2 linked regions of the Notamacropus eugenii genome follow. The protein of the gene in region 2 interacts with the protein of the main gene of each other region in a pairwise test. Links are inferred from orthologs where the notes say so. Each region holds a gene or a part of one and is shown on either strand. Other genes may lie near its edges.

Region 1 (9,558 bases), on a different chromosome or scaffold from region 2:
ATCAGCATATAGAAAGACAGAAAATTCTGCAGACATGGTGGTGGGATCGGGTCAGGAGTATAATGCATATGGGAGCTCAGGAAGAGGCTCTGCCTTTGGACAAGAGGAGGAACTGTATGAAGGATGCAGAAACAGGTGTCAACTGGCAGTGCCCAACACCCCATGTTAGGCCACAGATCCAAGGCAGACTAAAAGAGAATCTGCACCCAGAAATGATGTTCTCAGATGTGGTGTGCCAATGGTAAACAGGTGATGTGCCAAGAAAGGAGCAAATTCAGAATCAAGTGGAAGCTTGTTCATTGGAGCAGAAAGGCATCTCATTTCTAGCATCTAGCTTAGTCTGAAGCCTCTAGAACAGCCAGGGCAGGAATCTCAGGCCAAAGGTGAGCAAAGGACGCAGTTCAATCATTGAACTGGCAAAGCTTTCCTGCTAGCTGATAAGAGTTGTGTCCAATAACTCTCTATTGTTGCTCAAGCCAAATTCAGATCAGGAACTTTCATAGATCAGATCAGGATGGCAACAATCAAACTTTGCCCTAGATCAGACCATTTGTGGAATGCTGAAAAACTTGCAGATCTCCAGCCTGTCCTTGAGTTCCTAGTATAACACAACTTTAAAACTTACAAAAATAAATAAGATGAGACACTTGAGTAAACAATTGGAAAGGAAATGAGAGCTATGGAAGAAAAAATTAGTAAAGAAACCAATAGCTTGTCACAAGAGGGACAAAACCTTGTTGAAGCAACAAACTCGCTGAAAATTAGAAAGTGCTAAATAGAAGCCAGTGACTCCATGAGGCAACAAGAAATATCAAAACAAAGTCAAAAGATGAGAGAATAGAAGAAAATGTAAGATATCTCATAGCAAAAAGCAACAAACATGGAAAATAGATCAAGGAGAAAAAAATAAATTAAGAATCATTGGACTATCTGTATGCCATGACCAGGACAAAAGCTTGGACATAACATTTCAAGAAACCTTAAAAGAAAACTACCCAGATTCCTTAAAACAGGGGTGGGGAACCTGTGGCCTCATGGTCACATGTGGCCTTGAGGTCACTGGTTACCCATTCCTGCCTTAGAATCAGAAAGCAAAGTGGAAATTGAAAGAATCTACTAGTCACCTCCTGAAAGAAACTCCAAAATGAAAGCTTTGGAACATTATGGTCAAAATCCAAAACTTCCAGATGAAAGAATAACCAAGAAACAAAGAAAAAAAGAACAAAACACTACAAGCAGTCAAAAAAGAAAGAATTCAAGTACCAAGGAGTCAGAGTCAGACTCCTATATGATTTAGTGGCTACCACTATAAATGAATGGATAACTTGGAACACAATACTCCAGAAAGCAAAGGATATATAACTTATACAGCAAATTGAATATAATGCTACAGGGGGATGGATGGGAGGGGATGGGGGTGGAACGGACCTTTAATGAAGTAGAAGACTTCAAAGCATTCCTGATGAAAAGTCCAGATCTTGGTAGCAATTTTGAAGTTCAAACACAAGAATTAAGAGAAAGCTAAAAAGGCAAGGAAATAAACAATGCTAAGGGACTGCACAAGGTAAACTGCTTGCTTCCTAATATGGGGAGATAATACGTGTCCCTTATGAGATCTGTCAGGGGTCAGAGAGTGAATCTTATTAGACAGAAGACGTGGAAGTGGTTCTGTTACGTCTTGATGATCTTAAAAGAAGTATGTAAAGAGACGGGAAGAGGAATACACTTGGGGCAATGTAAGGGAAAGAGGAAAGAAGGTTAGGGGAAATTATCTCACCTAATCAGGGCACACAAGTAGACATCTATACAAACAAGGAGGTGGGGATAGGGGATGGATGATGCTTCAATCTCATTTTCCTATCACACTCAGAGTTGGGTACAGAAATGCATTTCACACAATAGGAGGAAAAAAAGAGGAGGGGTGAATTGGAGGGAGGATAGATTAAGGGAGGAATTAGTACTAACAAACTAGTACAAACAAACTAAGGTTGTACAAAGTATTTGTAGCTCTTTTTAAGGTGATAAAAATGGGAATCTGAGGGGTGCTCATAAATTGAGGAGTGGCTAAATATGTTCTGGTATGTAAACGTGATGAACTATTGTGGTGTGCAAGAAGTAATGAAGATAATGGTTTCAGAGACACCTGGGGAGATTTGCATGAACTGAAGCAGAATGAAGTGAACACAATCGGGAGAGTGATTAATTAATATAATGGTTGCTGTCCTTTGTCTTCGCAGAGGACCAAAATGACATCACCATATTACAGTGAAATTCAGTGTGTCTGACTGTGGCTGATGAGACCAATAAGATCTCAGAATACTGTACCACAGGTTGGGCACAGATTGTCCATGTGAATATTTGGGGTGGATACTCCAAATTTGCGCATCCTGCGTTTACTTTGTGCTGTCTCAATTCTGCTTTGCTCAAAGAGCACAGCACCCTTTCGGATGTGGGCACACCATGCTGAGCGGGTCCTGTGCCAGTGTCTCCCATGTTGCACAGTCAAATCCAGAGTTCTTGAGAGAGACCTTGAGAGTATCCTTGTATTGCTTCTTCTTCCCACCATGTGGAACACCTGCCCCACGCGAGTTCTCCATAAAATAAGTCTTTTTGGCAAGCATACATTTCACATTCGAACAACATGGCCAGCCCATTGGAGTTGCGTTCTCTGGAGCATGGTTTGGCAGTTCAGCTCGAGCAAGGACTTCAGTATCTGGTACCTTATCCTACCAGGTGATCCTCAGAATCTTCCTAAGACAGTTCAAATGGAAGTGATTCAGTTTCCTGGCATGGCGCTGGTAGACTGTCCATGTTTCACAAGCATATAACAATGAGGGCAACACAACAGCTCTGTAGACCTTCAATTTGGTAGTCAGTTTAATGCCTCTTCTCTCCCAAACTTTTCTTCGGAGCCTCCCAAACGCTGAGCCAGCTCTGGCAATGTGTGCATCACGTGTGTTCAGGGAGGACCGGTACCTTTGGTGTGATGGCTGCCAAGTCCTTTTCAGGGCTCTTTCCACCTTTGGTGTCCACCTGTTCCACCCAACTCTCACCTGTGGCTCCAAGAAGCTGCAGCATGCTCAGCGGCCACACCCGGGTAAACCATTGAGGCAGACTGGCCAAACCAGGTTGAGGGTAACCAAGGGTTCTCACACCCACAGGTGAGTTAGGGAGGTGTGTACCTCAAGTATGTGAAGACTTTCTCTGGTGGAATGGGCGGATGAGAACAATTTGTTCCAATGGCCATGAATTAATGCAATGACAACAATATGAAAGAATTAGCAGCTTGGATCAGCAGGATGACTAAACACTATTGCAGAGAACTAATGATGAAATGCTACCTCTTTCCTGATGACAGACTCAGTGAAAAAGAAACTTTTTTTTTGGAACAAAGTCCATGTAAAAATTTGTTTTGCTTGATACACTTGTTTATAACTAGGATCTTATTTTTCTTTGGCTCTTAATTTGGGGGGTGCACAGATTAGATGAGGGGAGGTAAGAAGATAGATTTTTGCTAAATAAAAAAATGCAAATATAGGAGGACTATGGGCGTGCAACAGTGCACATATTGTCAGACGCAGTCAATGTAGTTTAATCCACTGAGCTGCTTTAAACCCCTCTGTTTTTTCTTTATTATTAATGAATACAACACAAACTAGGGAAGAGGAGGGAAACACTCATATTCAGAAATAAAAGTGGTGTAAAAACAAAAGATGGCAATACAAATTAAACAATTTTTTAAAATCTAAAAAAGCTGCTATTAATTCAATAATACCTTCAAATTAATTTGTATTTTAATAATCACAATAGCAAATATTTAAAGAATAGTAACACTTACGTAAAGAGGTAACTTGTAGCATAGTGGATAGAGTGCCAGGCTTGGAGTCAGGAAGACCTGAGTTTAAATCCAGCTTCAGACACTTACTAGCTGTGTAACCCTGGGCAAAGTCATTTAACCCTCTTTGTGTCAATTCCTTCTCTGTAAAATGAACTGGAGAAGGAAATGGCAAACTCCAGTATCTTTGCCAAGAAAATCCCAAAAACGGGTCACAAAGAGTTGGACACAACTGAAAACAACTAAACTACAATAACACATATATAAGATATTATTTATATAGCATGATTGTTGTTTATAAATAATTTTCATAAATATGTTCTCATTCTTTATAAATAATTCACATTATTTAATGAGATAACTGGTATGCATATGGATTCTGGACTATCTTTCAATCTGACTGTTCACCTCCTTAATTTTCCACCCTCTCCCAGTCTTAAGAAATTGGATTTTATGCCAAAATTCAAGAAGAATTCTGGCAACCAAGCAATGTAATTAATGATGAATGATTAACAACGACAACACAAAATCCTAGATATAAAGCTGGAAGCCTTTCCATTGTACCACTTTTATATAGTGGTACATATATATGTATATATACACATACATATATACGCACATATATATGTATACACACACACATATATATACATATATATATACTGGCATATATTCATATAGTATATAAGAACTATTAGCATAACTCTTAACCTCTTTTGGGGTCATGGACCCCTTTGGCAGTCCAATGAAGCCAATGGACCCTGTCTCAGCATGATGCTTTAAAATAATTGTAGGAGAAGCTTAATTTCAGTTAGAGGTTAGTAAAAATAAAGGTGTATTTTTTCCCCCATTCAAGTTCATGAACCTCATCAAACCTATATCCCTGGACCCCTCTGGGGGGTCTGTGGAGCCCAGGTGAAGAACCTTTGCTTTAAGGTCACAAAGGTATTCCATATATTAATTCATCTGATGCTGAGTTGTCTGGGATCCCTGATGAAGGCTTGGGCAAGCCCAGGTAGATCTTCCAATTCTTGATTAAACAAGATCCTTTATTAAACCCACTGTGCAGTGGATAGGACGCTGGGTTTGGGAGCCAGGAAGTCTTGCTTCGAAATGCTACCCTTGGCACTCACTAGCTAGTCTTGTATCCCTGGGAAAATCAAGACACCTCTCAGTGCCTCAGTTTCTCCGTCTGTAAAATGGGGGACTTGGACTAGAGAGTCTTTGATGTCCCCAGTCAAGGTCACCGTGCCCTCGCCCCAAGGCCTTCTCCAGCGATCGTTCCTTCCAACTCCACATCCTGACGAGCTCACCCCAGCCTTTCCCAAACCTCCCACCACGCTCCAGCCCCGGCCAGCCGTACAACATGGCGGCCCCCTCGCTCTCGTTCCTGTAGGTTTCCTCCGTACAGCATGGCTGCCTCCGGGACTCAGAGCCGGCCCCGCCCCCTTCCACCGGAAGTTTCTGTTTGAAATACCGGCGGCGCCTGGGCTGGCGGTTCCTGTGCCCGAGCGTGAGTGGTGATGGAGAGCGGGTGCAGACCGGGGGTCGGGGACCCGGCTTCGGCCGGGGAGCGTCCGGGGTAAGAGACGGCTTGGAAGGAAGCGGGGACCCGGGGGCTGAGGGGGCGGCGGGCCGGGCCCCGGGGGGGCTGAGGGGGAGGCCTGGGCCCCGGGGGGGCTGAGGGGCGGCGGGCCGGGTCCCGGGGAGGGGGCTGAGGGGGGGCGGGCCGGGCCCCGGGGGTGCTGAGGGGGAGGCCTGGGCCCCGGGGGGGCTGAGGGGCGGTGGGCCGGGCCCCGCGGGGGGCTGGGGGGGCGGCGGGCCGGGCCCCGCGGGGGGCTGGGGGGCTGGGGGGGCGGCGGGCCGGGCCCCGCGGGGGGCTGGGGTGGCGGCGGGTGCCCTCCCGCCCGCAGCCCGCCGGGGCGCCTCTCCCAATGGAGCCCCCTTCCCTCCAGGGTCCAGTCCGGCCGCGCCTCGAGAGCCAGCACCGCCAGGCCTGCGTTGGGCGGAGGGCAGCCCGCGGGTGAGTACCGGGGCCGGGTCGTGGCCTTCCGCCAGCATCCGTAAAGCGCCCACTGTGTGTGCCCTGGGCCCTGGGCATCCCGGGAGGCCCCGAGGTTTGCTAGGGCTAATACCGCGCTGTAACGGGGTGGGGGTGGCGGGGAGCGCAGGTAGATACTAATGATGGCTAATGTTTATGTAACACTTAACGGATGCCAGGTGCAGTGCCAAGCCCTTTACCTTTATCGCAACGACCCTATTGGCATCCCCATTTCACAGATGAGGTTGAGTGACTTGCCCAAGGTCTCCCAGCTAGTTCACTAACTAGAGGAATTAGGAAAAGCCTTTTCAAGGAGCTGGCACTTGGGCGCCTTCATTACTGATTCCCTCGGGGATCTTGTTAGCTCTGACAGATCCAGTTATCATGCCTACGGAACATGTCCCTCAGATCTACTGTCTAGCCCCAGGTCCGCCCTCACCTCACTGACTGTCTGTCTGCGTGTGTTCTTCATTTTGGAAGAGAATGATGACGTCCCTTGCACTTGACTTTGTTTTGAGTGAGGGAGGGCTGTGCAGGTCCCCAGCCTCACTTCTCCTCCAGAGCCATCTGGATCCGGTGACCAGATAGTCTTCAGGATGACTGGAGATGACCCAGGATCCAACTGGTTGTTCTGTGAACATCTTAAACTCAACATCTCCAAAACTGAACTCATTATCTTTTCTATCAGACCTTCCCTTCTTTCTAACTTGGCTGTTACTGTGTAGAGGATACTATCAGGAGTCTAGTCACCAAGGCTCACCACCTGCCTATCATCCCCTCCTCCTCTTACCTTACCCCTCCACCCCCATGTCCAATCCGTTGCCATTACCTGTTGTTTTTACCCTCTTAACATCTATTGCATATGTACCCCCCTCTTCTCTGATGCTGCCACTAGCCTGGTGCCACTTATACCTGAATTTTTGCCATAGCATACTGCCACAAGTTTCTCCCCATTCTAATCCATCCATCACTAAGCTGGCAGAGTGTTTTTCCTAAACATAGGAAACATAACCATGTCACTGATTTCTTATTGAACTCCAGCAATTGCTTGTCACTTCTGGGATCAAATATGAAATCCTCTTTGGCATGCAAAACTCTTCATAGCCTGTTCTCCTCTCCCTCCTCCTCCAGAAGCACAAAAGCATGTGTCTGGAGAGCAAGGGTGGTTTTTCTTTTTGTCTTCATAGTTCTAGCCCTTAGCACATTGCTTTACAGAGTGCTAGTGTGGATACACTGAGAACCTACTGACTTGGACTTTTAAAAGACATATATTAAAGGTGCAAGAGAAAGTAGGTGTCAGAGGATAAATCCAGAAGAGTGGTGACTCCCTACCTGTACAAATACAGACTAACATGGCTGATACAGAGTTGAAGTTGAAGTTAAGTAAGGCATTTGTTTGTAAGAAAGCATCTGGCTGCCCTCAAGTCCCCAGACTTGGACTACCACAACAGTCAGTACATGAAAAAATTGGTAGAAGTGATTGCTAAACTGATGTAAATAATCTTTGAAGAATTTTAGAGAATGGGAGAGGTGCCATAGAATTGGAGGTAACAATTGTCCTCATTTTGAATGAGGGAAAGAAGAGCCTTCCAGTTACAGGCTAGGGAACTTGAAAAGAGTAGAAACTGGATGCTGGGAGACTAATTAGGAGGCTGTTGTTAGAGTGCAGGTAAAAGATGGTGTAAGCTTGAATTAGGGTAGTGATCCTGTGAATAATAGGTTCAAATCCCACCTCTAACATCCAGACTTGTATGAACTGATGCAAAGCGAAATGAGCAGGACCAGGAGAATAACCTGTCCAGTTACGGTAATATTGTGAAGGTAATCAGCTTTAAAAGACTTGGTAATTTTGATGAACGCAACAAGTCATCACAATTCCAAAGATTCATCACAGAATGCTGTCCAGAAAGATAACCAGTTGACCCAGAGTGCAGATTTGAAGCATATTTCATCCTTCTTTCTTTTCCTGGCTTTTTTTGAAACAAGCTTGATGTGGAAATTAGTTTTGCATAACTGAATTTGTAATGGGTTTTGTTTTCTTCTCAGTGGATTGGGGAGGGGGGAGTAGGGAGAGAGAAGGAAATTTGGAACTGAAATAAAAGCGTAAAAAAGTCTCCGTTTTAAAAAGTAATCTTGTAAAAAAAAAAGTTGTTAATAAAAATTTATTTTTTAAAAAGAAATGAAATAAAGTAGCTAAGACCCATTAAATAGTTCCAGCAAATTATGAAATATAGCTATGGTGTGTTTAGGGAGTTTAAGCCTGTATTCTCCACCTTCCTATCTTCATTCTTTTTTTAAATCTTATTCCTTTCGCTTATATTAGCCACCATGTTACGTTTATACCCTTTTTATCTCTTCCAGCCTTAGAGATCCTCAGATGAGTACTCAAAGAGTCCATGTATTATTTTGGGTAGTGTTACTTAGATATGGCCTTTTTATCCCAAGGAGATTAAAATTCAGTGATTCAAAGCTGCTCTTCCTAGAATGAAGTTGACTCAATTAGGACATGGCAATTTGGATTAAAACACTGACCATGATATTAGAATTGGGTTACGTTGGTTGGGTTTTCACCCTCTTAATTTTCCTTTCACAGAAACACATTCTCGGGCTGCTTCTAAGAGTCAGATACCCCAGAGGTGCAAAGAAGTAGAACTCCACAAGGCCCTCAGCTCAACAGGTCTAGAGAATGAATTGTACAAAACTACCAAACAGAGGTCAGAACATAGAAATAGACGGTTGCACTTAAATGGATAATTTTGTCAGAAGTGACTTCAAATGACCTGACCCTGAAAAGGAGGTTTTGAGTAGAACATGAGAAATGTATTAATGTACACTGTTGTTGAGCAGCGCACAGTTCCTTTGTCAGTCTCCCAACCCCCTTAGAGATCTGTTCTGGAAAAGACAAATTGAAGTCACTAACAGAAGGTGTTTTGAAGCTGTCCTTTCCTCTCTCATCACAACCTTTTACATGTCCTTACCAAAAAGTAGATACAAGTGGAACTGGAAACAGAACAATTAGTAAGCCACATTTATTTGAATTGAGCCCTAACTTTGAAGTTAAACTCATTGCAGTGGGATGGGTTTTCTTTTGTTAACCTTTTTCCCTTTATAATGGGAAATCCAGAGTTCCTGCTAACAGTTTGAGCTAAGATAAATGAGGCTTTACTTTAGCCCTGAGATTTGAAGATGGTTAGAAATAAGTTTGGAGGACCTCCGAGGAAGTGCTACTACCAGGTGTAGCTTGTAGTCTCCAGACTGAGGGCCATTGTTTCCATTAGATTCATAGTAAGGAAGAATTAGATGATTGCTAAGGACTCCTGCATCTTTAACAGTCAGTGAGTCTCAATGCAAATGACACTCGGGTTGTTTACTGGCTTATTTCTGTATCGTTGACTCTAGGCAGATGAAGACCATGGATCCTGCTATTAAGAAGAACATTAGAAAAAGGTGAATCTTGGGGCAAATGAAACTGCTTTTCTTTTTGAGTTGAATGTCCTTTTATCCTAGTGTCACAAATACTGCGTAAGCAGGGCTGTCATCTCTACCAGCTAGAAAATGTTTTTAACTTTTTTAAAAAAGAAAGTGCAATCTAGATTCCAATTGTCATTGCAGCTACAATCCGTTAAATCGACAGAAAGCTGAGGAAGAACTCAAAGAGAAGAATCAGATGCTAGAGGCAGTT
Region 2 (9,210 bases):
AAAATTCCCCACACACTGTGGTTGTTGCTGTGCACAAAGTTCTCCTGGTTCTGCTCCTTTCACTCAGCATCATTTCGTATAAGTCCTTCCAGGCCTCTCTGAAGTCTTCCTGTTCATCATTTCTTATAGTACAATAGTATTCCATTACATTTCTATATCACAATTTGTTCAACCATTCCCCAATTGATGGGCATCCCCTCAATTTCCAGTTCTTGGCCACCACAAAGAGAGCTGCTATAAACATCTTTGTACATGAGACCCTTTCCCATTTTTATGATCTCTTTGGGATCTCGTATCTTCTTTAGGGCAAAATTTGTGCTGCAACACTTTAAGTGACAAGGAGCTCATTACCTCAATAGGGAGTGAGTGGGATAGGTTTAGTGAAGACTTCTCAGATTGTAATTCTTCTCCCAGGAGTGAGGTAAGACCTAGAGGCTCAAGGTTACAATATTTTTAGAATAGAATAGTTCCATATAAGGATATAAAACTGTGTAGTATATTAGGGTCTCAATGACTGGATAAAACTTATGTAATTCCTCGATGTCTTCATTTCAAAAGGGATTGGTTAGATTTCGTGTCTAGAATGTAAGATCATATTCTCAGCTAATGAGGATGATGGTCAGTGGGGGGAGGAGGGACTTGCATTAGGGTCTATATAAATCACTGCCCTTTTCTTTGTCTTCAGCTTTCCTACTCCTACAGGTTAGCCCCGCTTCTCGAGAATCGAATAAATCACTTTTCTGTCATCACTTTGAGAGTCCTCTGAGTAATTGATTTATGTAGGGACCTGAGCCATTCCACACAGTTGCCTATTTTATTGTTGGACAATTGTAACTGTTAGCAGTTAAAACTTCCTCTCTGTAACTTACATTCATTGTACAAGTTTTATTCTCTGGAGCCAAGGAGAATGTCTAATCCCACTTCCATATAACTCTTCAAATATTTGAAGACTCAACCAAACAAAATCTTGTATTGGACACAACACAATTTAAAAGGCATTGTTATTCATCATCATCACCATTATCATCATAATAATAAACAGCTAGCATTTATATACTTTAAGGTTTGCAAAGCAGTTTACAAATACCTCATTTTATTCTTACAAGCACCATTGGAGGTAGGTGTTTTTGTTATCCCTATTTTATTGATGAGGAACTTAAAGTAGACTAAGAAGTGACTTTCCCAGGGTCACACACCTAGTGTCTGAGTCAAGATTTAAACTCAGGTCTTCCTGACATTAAGTGAAATCCTCTAAGAAGAGAAGATTGTAAAAATGGTAAAAATCACAGCATTAATGTCAGAAAAGGTGCAAGAAGATATTAGGAGTTAGTTCATAGTTCTGCTTTTCACCTATGTCAGGTGTTTATGAAAATGATCTTTACACTTAGTAATGGGTGTTCTTCACGAAAATACCAAAATGGAACAAATAGAATTTCAAAGATGATTCTCTGCAGCAGACCACATCTTCATGTTGAAGTGCAGGGCATGGGTCTCAATGTTGTCTCAAAAGAATTCAGACTCAGACTGTCTCCAAATCAAGTAAGGGCATCGATTTGGAGTGATGCACCCAGTGGACTCTAATTCAGTGAGACAGCAGCAGCAGTCAGGAGAAGCTAGGGATTTTAATACAGGAAATGTGCCACGAGGGCAAGGAGATGAGGTAATCAGGAATATGCAGGCAAAGGGTGAAAGCTCAGAGTTCTGTGAATATCCTGTTCAGATAAGTCTTCATTTCATTGGCCAGCCCATTTGTCCAGGGCAGATCTCATTATTAATCTCATCATTCAGAGTTACAACACTGCTTGAGAGGTAGAATGAATTCAAGATCATTCTTGCCTTTCAAGCCTTCTTATACCTGGCTCACCACTACATACTCCGTGTTCCAGTAACGCTGGTCTTCTTGCTATTTCATGGACAAGATCTTTTAATCTCTGGGTCTGGGCATCTTCTCTGACTGTCCCTCATACCTGAAATGTCCTTCTTCATCTGCTTACTGCCTTCCCTGGCTTCCTTGTTAATACTATATGGTTGCAAATCATGAAATATGATGATCTACAAAAAAGCAAAGTTGTCCTCTATTCCTAGAAACACCAAAGAGCATGATGGTATTACAGGAGAAGGGGGGTGGCCCTCAGGATCTTGGAGCTAGAGGCCAAGGCAGTTTCTAGAAGGGCTTCAGCAGAATGAGATGAAGTTAAGATCGGGATGCCTCATATCTGTGGGCAAGGCTGGGCTAAGGCCAAAGCTTCAGGGCTTGGGGAGCAAAGGCCAAAAACAAGGTCCCCACACTGGACCAACCAGTCAAGGACATGAAAATCAAGACCTTAGAGGACATTTGTCTCTTCTCCTTTCCCATCAAGAAGTCTTGAATCCTGGGGGTCTTCTCTGAAGGATGAAGTCTGAAGATCATATCTGTAGACAAGTTGGCTTGGGTATCAAATGTCCCAAGGAAGTTCCTGTATCTGTGTCATCATCCTAGACACAGTGACCATTCAGCTTGCAAGATGTGGCCACTGAGGAAGCAAGATTAGCAAAGACACACACACACACACACACACACACGTATACACACTAGTGCCCCACAGTTTTGTCACTGACCATACTGAATCAGTCCTGATGAACCTGATTCCTACCTAAGGGAAGTCTCAGTTCCTGTGCCTAAAAAAACCCTTGGTGAAGGTCAGAATTGATGGTTGTTCTATTTTTTTTAACGGCTGTATTGCTACTCTGGACCCCTTTGCTAAAGCTACCTTTGATGCCATCTCTAAAACCCTCAGCTGTCTAATTTCTGGTTCATGGAAGGAGACTGTGTTTACTAAGTTTCCCTATAAGGAATTCATTCACCATCTTGTAAGGACAGATATCAGAGAAACCAGGCAATTGCCTGGCTACCTCATAAATGTCTTTGTAATAGCAAAAAATCAAATAAACTATGCCAATTTTTTAAACTTCAGAATTATAGATGATCCAAAGAAAAATGGAAGGATAAAGCAGAAGTATAAGTAGGCTGCAATATTAACTACAATTTGCTTTCAATAAGTGGCAAAGAAGTCATTTATAACATGTAAAACTGTAAAAGTAGGTAGTTCAGGCACATATAGAGAAAGGGAAATAACACTTGGAAGCCTTGAGTATTACGCTGGTGTCCTTAATATTTTAAAAGACCCAGAGGCTGTGTGACCTTGGGTAAGTCACATAACCTCCCTCCCTGAGCCTCAGTTTCTTCATCTATAAAAAGAAGATGGTGATAGTTATACCTAAATGACTCAGAGAAAGGACTCTGTTACACTGGGCAGGTCTTTTGTGGAGAATTTATGGAAAGACACAGGTAATATTTACACACAATACGGAAGCCTGGGTGTGTTCTTTATAAATGGAGGGAGTACAGGTACAAATGGGTTCTCAGATTCATTGCTCTAGAACTTCTTTCCAATTTCTTTAAATGTTCTACATTTGACATGGATGGTGAGTGTGCCCTCTCCCTCTCTAATAGAAGCAGGCCTGCTACATCTCCTCTGAGGATTCTAGGGTAACCTGAGGAATTGAGTATCCTTTTTTTTTTTCTTAACATCAGCTGAAGCACCCACCAACTGTGTTACTAATGTGGATTACTTAAGGGCCAGTGACTAGAGCCCTTCATTCATTTAACTTCTTAATATCAGGTAGCTTTTACAAAGGATATTTATTTCAGACATAGAAAGAACAAATTTTTAAACATTTTCCCCAGTCCCTCCACAGAACACTCTTCCCTACACTACCTTGGTCTTTAGGAGAATAGATTCAAAACTTAACTCAGTTCCTAGACAGCATTGCTCTTGCCAAGTTCACAGCCAAATGCAGCATCAATTCTGATGAAGTCCGGTTACAGATTTTGACATGGATCTAAAAGCTTCTTTGGGGCATCAGTACTGGACTGGTGGCAACACCCAGCCTGGAACTCAGGTTCTGGAATGCCAAGATGATAGGATGTCTTCATGATGACCTTTTAAACTTACTAGGTTGTAAGATTTCATTCCCTTCAACTAGAACAGACAAAGAACAAATGAAAAGTCCAAGGACCCAAACCCATTTCTATCAGAGGAGCACTGGGGGGCATATGGGAAAAGGTTCTAAGACCATTACTTATATAGAATGCTCTCTTGCCAGACACTGGTGTAGTAGCTTCCCAAGGTACTAATGAAACAAAAGCTGACTCAAGTCTTTTTAAAGTTCTGACAGCTCTAGCTATGTGGCTCTTTGAAAAAGGGCCCTTCCAACCATGTGGTCAACCAACCAGAACCAGTACTTTTGTCTACACACGCTCCATAGTCTCTTCCCCAAAGAACATCATCACAATTTTCCCAGAAGTCATTTCTCCAGTGTCCTCCATGTAGAGAGGTTACATCACCAAGCAAGCTAATGGGGTCTACATGTGCACCAAACTATCATCATGCATAGTTCAAAAGTTCCTTGTTATCCTGGTCTCCTTCCTCTGGACCCAACCCGTGGGTGTTCAGAAGGCAATTGTTCACAGAATATTACCCTGTGGGATTGTGAGGATGAAAAAGACTGGATACAAATCTTTCCCTGACTGCATCTGACCATCCCATGCTTGGCTGCCAAGTGTCAATGGGTCATTCTAACCTGTCCTCATGTAGTTGCATGCCATTCACTGCCACCACCACTACTACCCATTGAAAAAAGAAACGATCACCTCTCTGTCAGGAATTGGGTAGCACACTTCATCACTGGTCCTCTGGAATCATCTCTACCGCACTTTTACTTGTGTTTTTACCATTGCTTGAAAATCCTCCACTCCTCCCGGATCTCCATTTACCAGACTATTTCATTCTTAAAACCACACTTCCAGTCCTATCTCAGTGCTTCCTCTAACTGCTTTCCCTCATATTTCCCATCTAGAATACTGTGTTTGTACTCTTATAAACCCAATCACATTCTGCTTTATAGTTATTCCCCCAAAGACTTGGAAACTGCCTGTTGTTTTTGGTTTTTTTAACTCACATTTCTATACTACTGTGAGGTTTGTAAGGCACTTTCCTCAGAGTAACCTTTTAAGACAGGTAACCTTTTTTTACAGATGAGGGAACTGAGGATAAGGAATTTGCCTAAGATCACAGCTAGCAAGTAGTAGAGTTGGGATATTCTGCTCTTTTCTTTAAAGGCTGGGGTGGTGATATCTAACATATCTTTGGATCTCTTTCTGCTTCGAGGACTTGCAGATGATATTGCTCAAAAGATATTTGTTAAATGAATGCCTGACATGGACCCCCTCACGTTTTTGACAGACCTTTATCTGTATTTGGTTTGTCAAAGCCTCAAAGGAAGGATCAAGGGGATTTTTATCTCTTTTTTTCCTTCCCACCCCTCTAGGCCACCAATCCATAGTAAGTTTGTTGGATGAAGAAAGACCTGGGTACTGAACTCTTCCCAGTCCTAGGAGGTTGTTTGTCCCTAGATTCTCCTCCTCTCCTCCTTTCCCCTTATTTTTTCTTCTCATTTTCTCCTTTCTTGTGCTCTTCTACTCCCAAAGACCCCAGAACCCTGAAATAAGAGTTACCCTGTGTGAAAATATCCAAATGGGAGGGAACCTGAGGAGAACAGAAAGGAGAAAAAGGAACAACTGCTGGGGAGGTGGGGGGTGGTGTGGGGAGTCATGAGACAGAAGACTTTTCCTGTTGTGATTTCATTTCTGTTTTTACTGGATACTGGAGTACTGGAATGGGGCCAGATTGCATCAGACTAGGCCAACGTGGATTATGTGAGGGGAGGAAACCCAGCCTTATAAATTTGGGGAGGAGCTGTCTCAAGGAGAAGCAAAGCCCTGAGACAGAGAGAAACAGAAATTCACAAACAAGAAATCAGATAGACTAGTCCCTGAAGGGACAGAATTCTCCAGTCCTAATGGCCACAGCTCCATTAGCTGCTCCACCACTCCATCGCCTGACCTTAGACGATGAGGAGTCCGAGTGCTTGGACCAATATGACATATACAGCTTTACAGATTCTTATTTGGGTGAGAGATGTGACCCCACCTTCCTTACCTAGATGCCCACTCATTCTAGCTTCCTCTCTAGTACCCCTAGTTTCAGTCCTCTCCCTATCCAGACTCAGCTCTGTATCTCTAGAACATTTTTTCCTAATATTTTCCTGATATTTTCAGACTGCCTGTGGATTTCAATCTAACCATCTCTACCCATCTGATACCTATCTCCACCCTCTATCCACTTAATTTCAATCCTAAATACTAGCCAGTCCCACAAACAACCCTATAGAATCCTTTGCCACGTGTCCTTATCTCAGCCCTCTCAGCATCTTTATTTCCCATCATGGCTCAGCTCATTGTTTTAGAGACCTTCCTTATCCCTCCAGTTTTTAGATCTCCTACCCTCTTCAAATTATCTTATATTCATTTATCCATGTACATGTTGTTCCCCATTAGAACATAAGTTCTTTAAAGGCAAGGATATTTTGTTTTTTCCTTTGGATCTCCAGTACTGAGTGCAGTACCTTGCACGTAGAAGATGTTTGCTGAATTGAATTATACTTATCTGAGAAACTGTCTAATCCAAACTCTGAGTTTTATAGAGGGGGCTGAGAAGAATGAAATGGTTTGCCCAAATTTACACAGCAAGTTAAGGAGACATCCAAAAATAGGACTCAGGTCTCCTGCTTCCAGTCCAGTATTCTTCCCCCTCACATCTCTAACTCTCTTTTTGTTGGTCTCTGCAACCATGGGTACCAAGTGGCTTCCACCCACTATGTTCTCTGAGCAGCTCATTCTTAGGACTATTGCTTTCTATTTCAGGAAGAGGGAGTGGGAAGGGTCGTACCAAAAGAGAAGCTGCTAACCATACCAACCGACCCAGCCCAGGTGGCCATGAGCGGAAGCTGCTGACCAAGCTTCAGAACACAGAACAAAAGAAACGTGGCACTAGACCCTGAGCCTAGAATCCTGAGGTAAGGGAGCCCAGAACCCCCATTCAGATCTCTCCCAACCGAATATATGGGCTGACACACTAGGAAAAAAATGGTATCCAACTCTAAGTTTCAGAGCCAGCTGGGAGATATGACCCCTAAAGTCTAGGAAAAAACCCTAGAGTCCTAGAAGGTCCCCTAAAGTTGGGAAACTTAGACTCACTGGTCTCAACCTCTAAAGATCTCTTTTTCTTCCAGGCTGGGCCTGAGTACTGATACCAAGATCACGGCTATGGACATACGACATTGAAGACAGGGCAAGAGAGATTGAATCTTAATCTTCCCTGACAGCCTTATCTCAAGAAATGTGCCCTCCGAAGCCTAGCTGGAGTTTGGAAGGGTCTAGCAAGTGAGTTCCTTTAGCACTTGCAGAAGGGATGAGGAGGAGCAGATGGTAGGAATGGATGAACTGGGAGGAACAGGAGGAAAGGGAGAATCTACCTGAAGAAACTGTCTATCAAAGGACAGAGGTTACAATAAAGAATCAATCAGAAGGTTGTGTGTGTGTGTGTGTGTGTGTGGTTGATTTCAAGTCTCCAATGTTTACGAAAACACCCTCTCTCCTCTTCTCCTCCTTCTCCCTAGTGCCCTCCAAAATGATAAGAGGGCCACAAAAACATCTCTTCCTACTCATTTCAGGCTTATAAGATCAAGCCCTTTCAGCTGTTATTTCCATCAAATGCTGGAAACTCTGTAAGGCTGGTGTCAGAAAAGAACTTACAACCTTGACCTTTGTGATTCTGATTTTGCTGTATGGCTATAGACAGTGAACCTGGGGAAAAGATTCCAGGAATTCTTAGCACATTAAGAAAATTGATACCTTCTTTAAACTAACAGTCTATAAGCAAAGAATTTAGAACAGTGAAGAGAAAGTATATGAGGAGAAGGATATGAGAGTGGCAATGGGATATTGGGGACAAAGAATCAGCCCTTAGAGTCAGGAAGACCTGGGTTCAAGTTCTCTTCTCCTCCCATCCACCCACACTAACTGACCCCAGGCAGGTCCCTTTATCTCCCTGTGCTCCAAGAATCTCCCTGAGACTTTAAGTTTCAGAGCAGATACCAACCTGCATTGATAGGAGGAGTTTTCTTGCTGAGAGTTCGCTATACCAATGAAATTAGGTCCAGTCCAAAAGATGAAATATTTTGTTCTGGTTTTTAAAGAAAGAAGTTATATCTGAGGAGTCAACTTGGAGTATTTAAAGAAACATATTCTGCATCTAGGGTAATGATAGAAGAGATAAAACACTCTGGAATGATTGTGAGAACAATCAATCAACTTTTATTAAGCACCTATTACGTGCTGGACACTGTACGAAATACTGGGGATACAAAAAAAGACAAAAGACCATCATTTCCTACAAGTAACTTACAATCTAATGGGGAGACAACATGCAAATACGTAGAAAGCTTAAGTACAAAGTCAACTGAAAGTCATGTCATCATCTTGAACACAACATACAAAGCAAGCTTTGTAATAGGAAATACTTAACAGAAGGAAAGCACTCGAATTAAGTGGGGTGGGGTGAGATTCTGCCACCTAATAAATGGGCTGTACTATAACCAAGCAATCCTACTTCCTCCAAGTCATGTTTGATGGTCAGGACCCTCTCTGCTTTGGTGGCTGTAAAAAAGCCAATCACAGGCAGCACACCTGAAGACTGCTGCTGTGAATGATTTCAAGGGTCTAATGTGTAATAGTGATGTCCTTAAGTAAAACATGTCATTCAATCAATATTAAGTATCCAAGTAAAGTCCTTTTTCAAAATATCCCATTATCCACCACTAGGTCACTGTAAAAACAGTCTTCTCAATCGGTATCAGGTGTCCAGGTGAAATCCTCTTTCATCTTAATACAAGGTTGGCTTCCAAGTCCCATGGCTCTTTGTCAGTGGCCTGACCACTCCTGACTCTCCCTGCATTCACACACAGGCAGATCTCTGCTCCTGCTCCATGTCTCAGCTCATGAGGACTGCTCTACTCTGCAGCTTCTGTCTCCAGGAAAACCAAGCTCAACAGGGCAACAACAATACTAACACACACCACCAGCACCATCATCTCAATTCACTCCTAAAGACCAACAGATAGGGCTTCTGTCTGAGAATTCAACACAGACCAAGAGACAAGACTAGTGTCTGAGAAACAGATCAACAGACAGGGCTTCTTTCTGGATTTCAGAGGTCTTCCTCTCTGCTATCGGAGGTCTGATGCAATATATATACACTGTTTCTAGTT

The links.
Region 1: the proteins of NUPR1 (region 2) and KNSTRN interact in a two-hybrid assay, tested with the Homo sapiens proteins (2 studies listed by BioGRID and IntAct). The link is inferred for Notamacropus eugenii from reciprocal best matches to the Homo sapiens genes NUPR1 and KNSTRN.

What each region holds. Positions count from the first base shown.
Region 1 is NC_092878.1:26,427,992-26,437,549, forward strand, and holds the start of KNSTRN (small kinetochore-associated protein), read left to right. Parts: upstream 1-5,298; 5' UTR 5,299-5,358; coding exon 5,359-5,417; intron 5,418-5,790; coding exon 5,791-5,858; intron 5,859-8,469; coding exon 8,470-8,590; intron 8,591-9,275; coding exon 9,276-9,323; intron 9,324-9,488; coding exon 9,489-9,558. UniProt on the Homo sapiens protein: Essential component of the mitotic spindle required for faithful chromosome segregation and progression into anaphase.
Region 2 is NC_092872.1:46,708,619-46,717,828, reverse strand, and holds NUPR1 (nuclear protein 1), read left to right. Parts: upstream 1-5,803; 5' UTR 5,804-5,901; coding exon 5,902-6,013; intron 6,014-6,805; coding exon 6,806-6,942; 3' UTR 6,943-6,957; intron 6,958-7,173; 3' UTR 7,174-7,469; downstream 7,470-9,210. UniProt on the Homo sapiens protein: Transcription regulator that converts stress signals into a program of gene expression that empowers cells with resistance to the stress induced by a change in their microenvironment.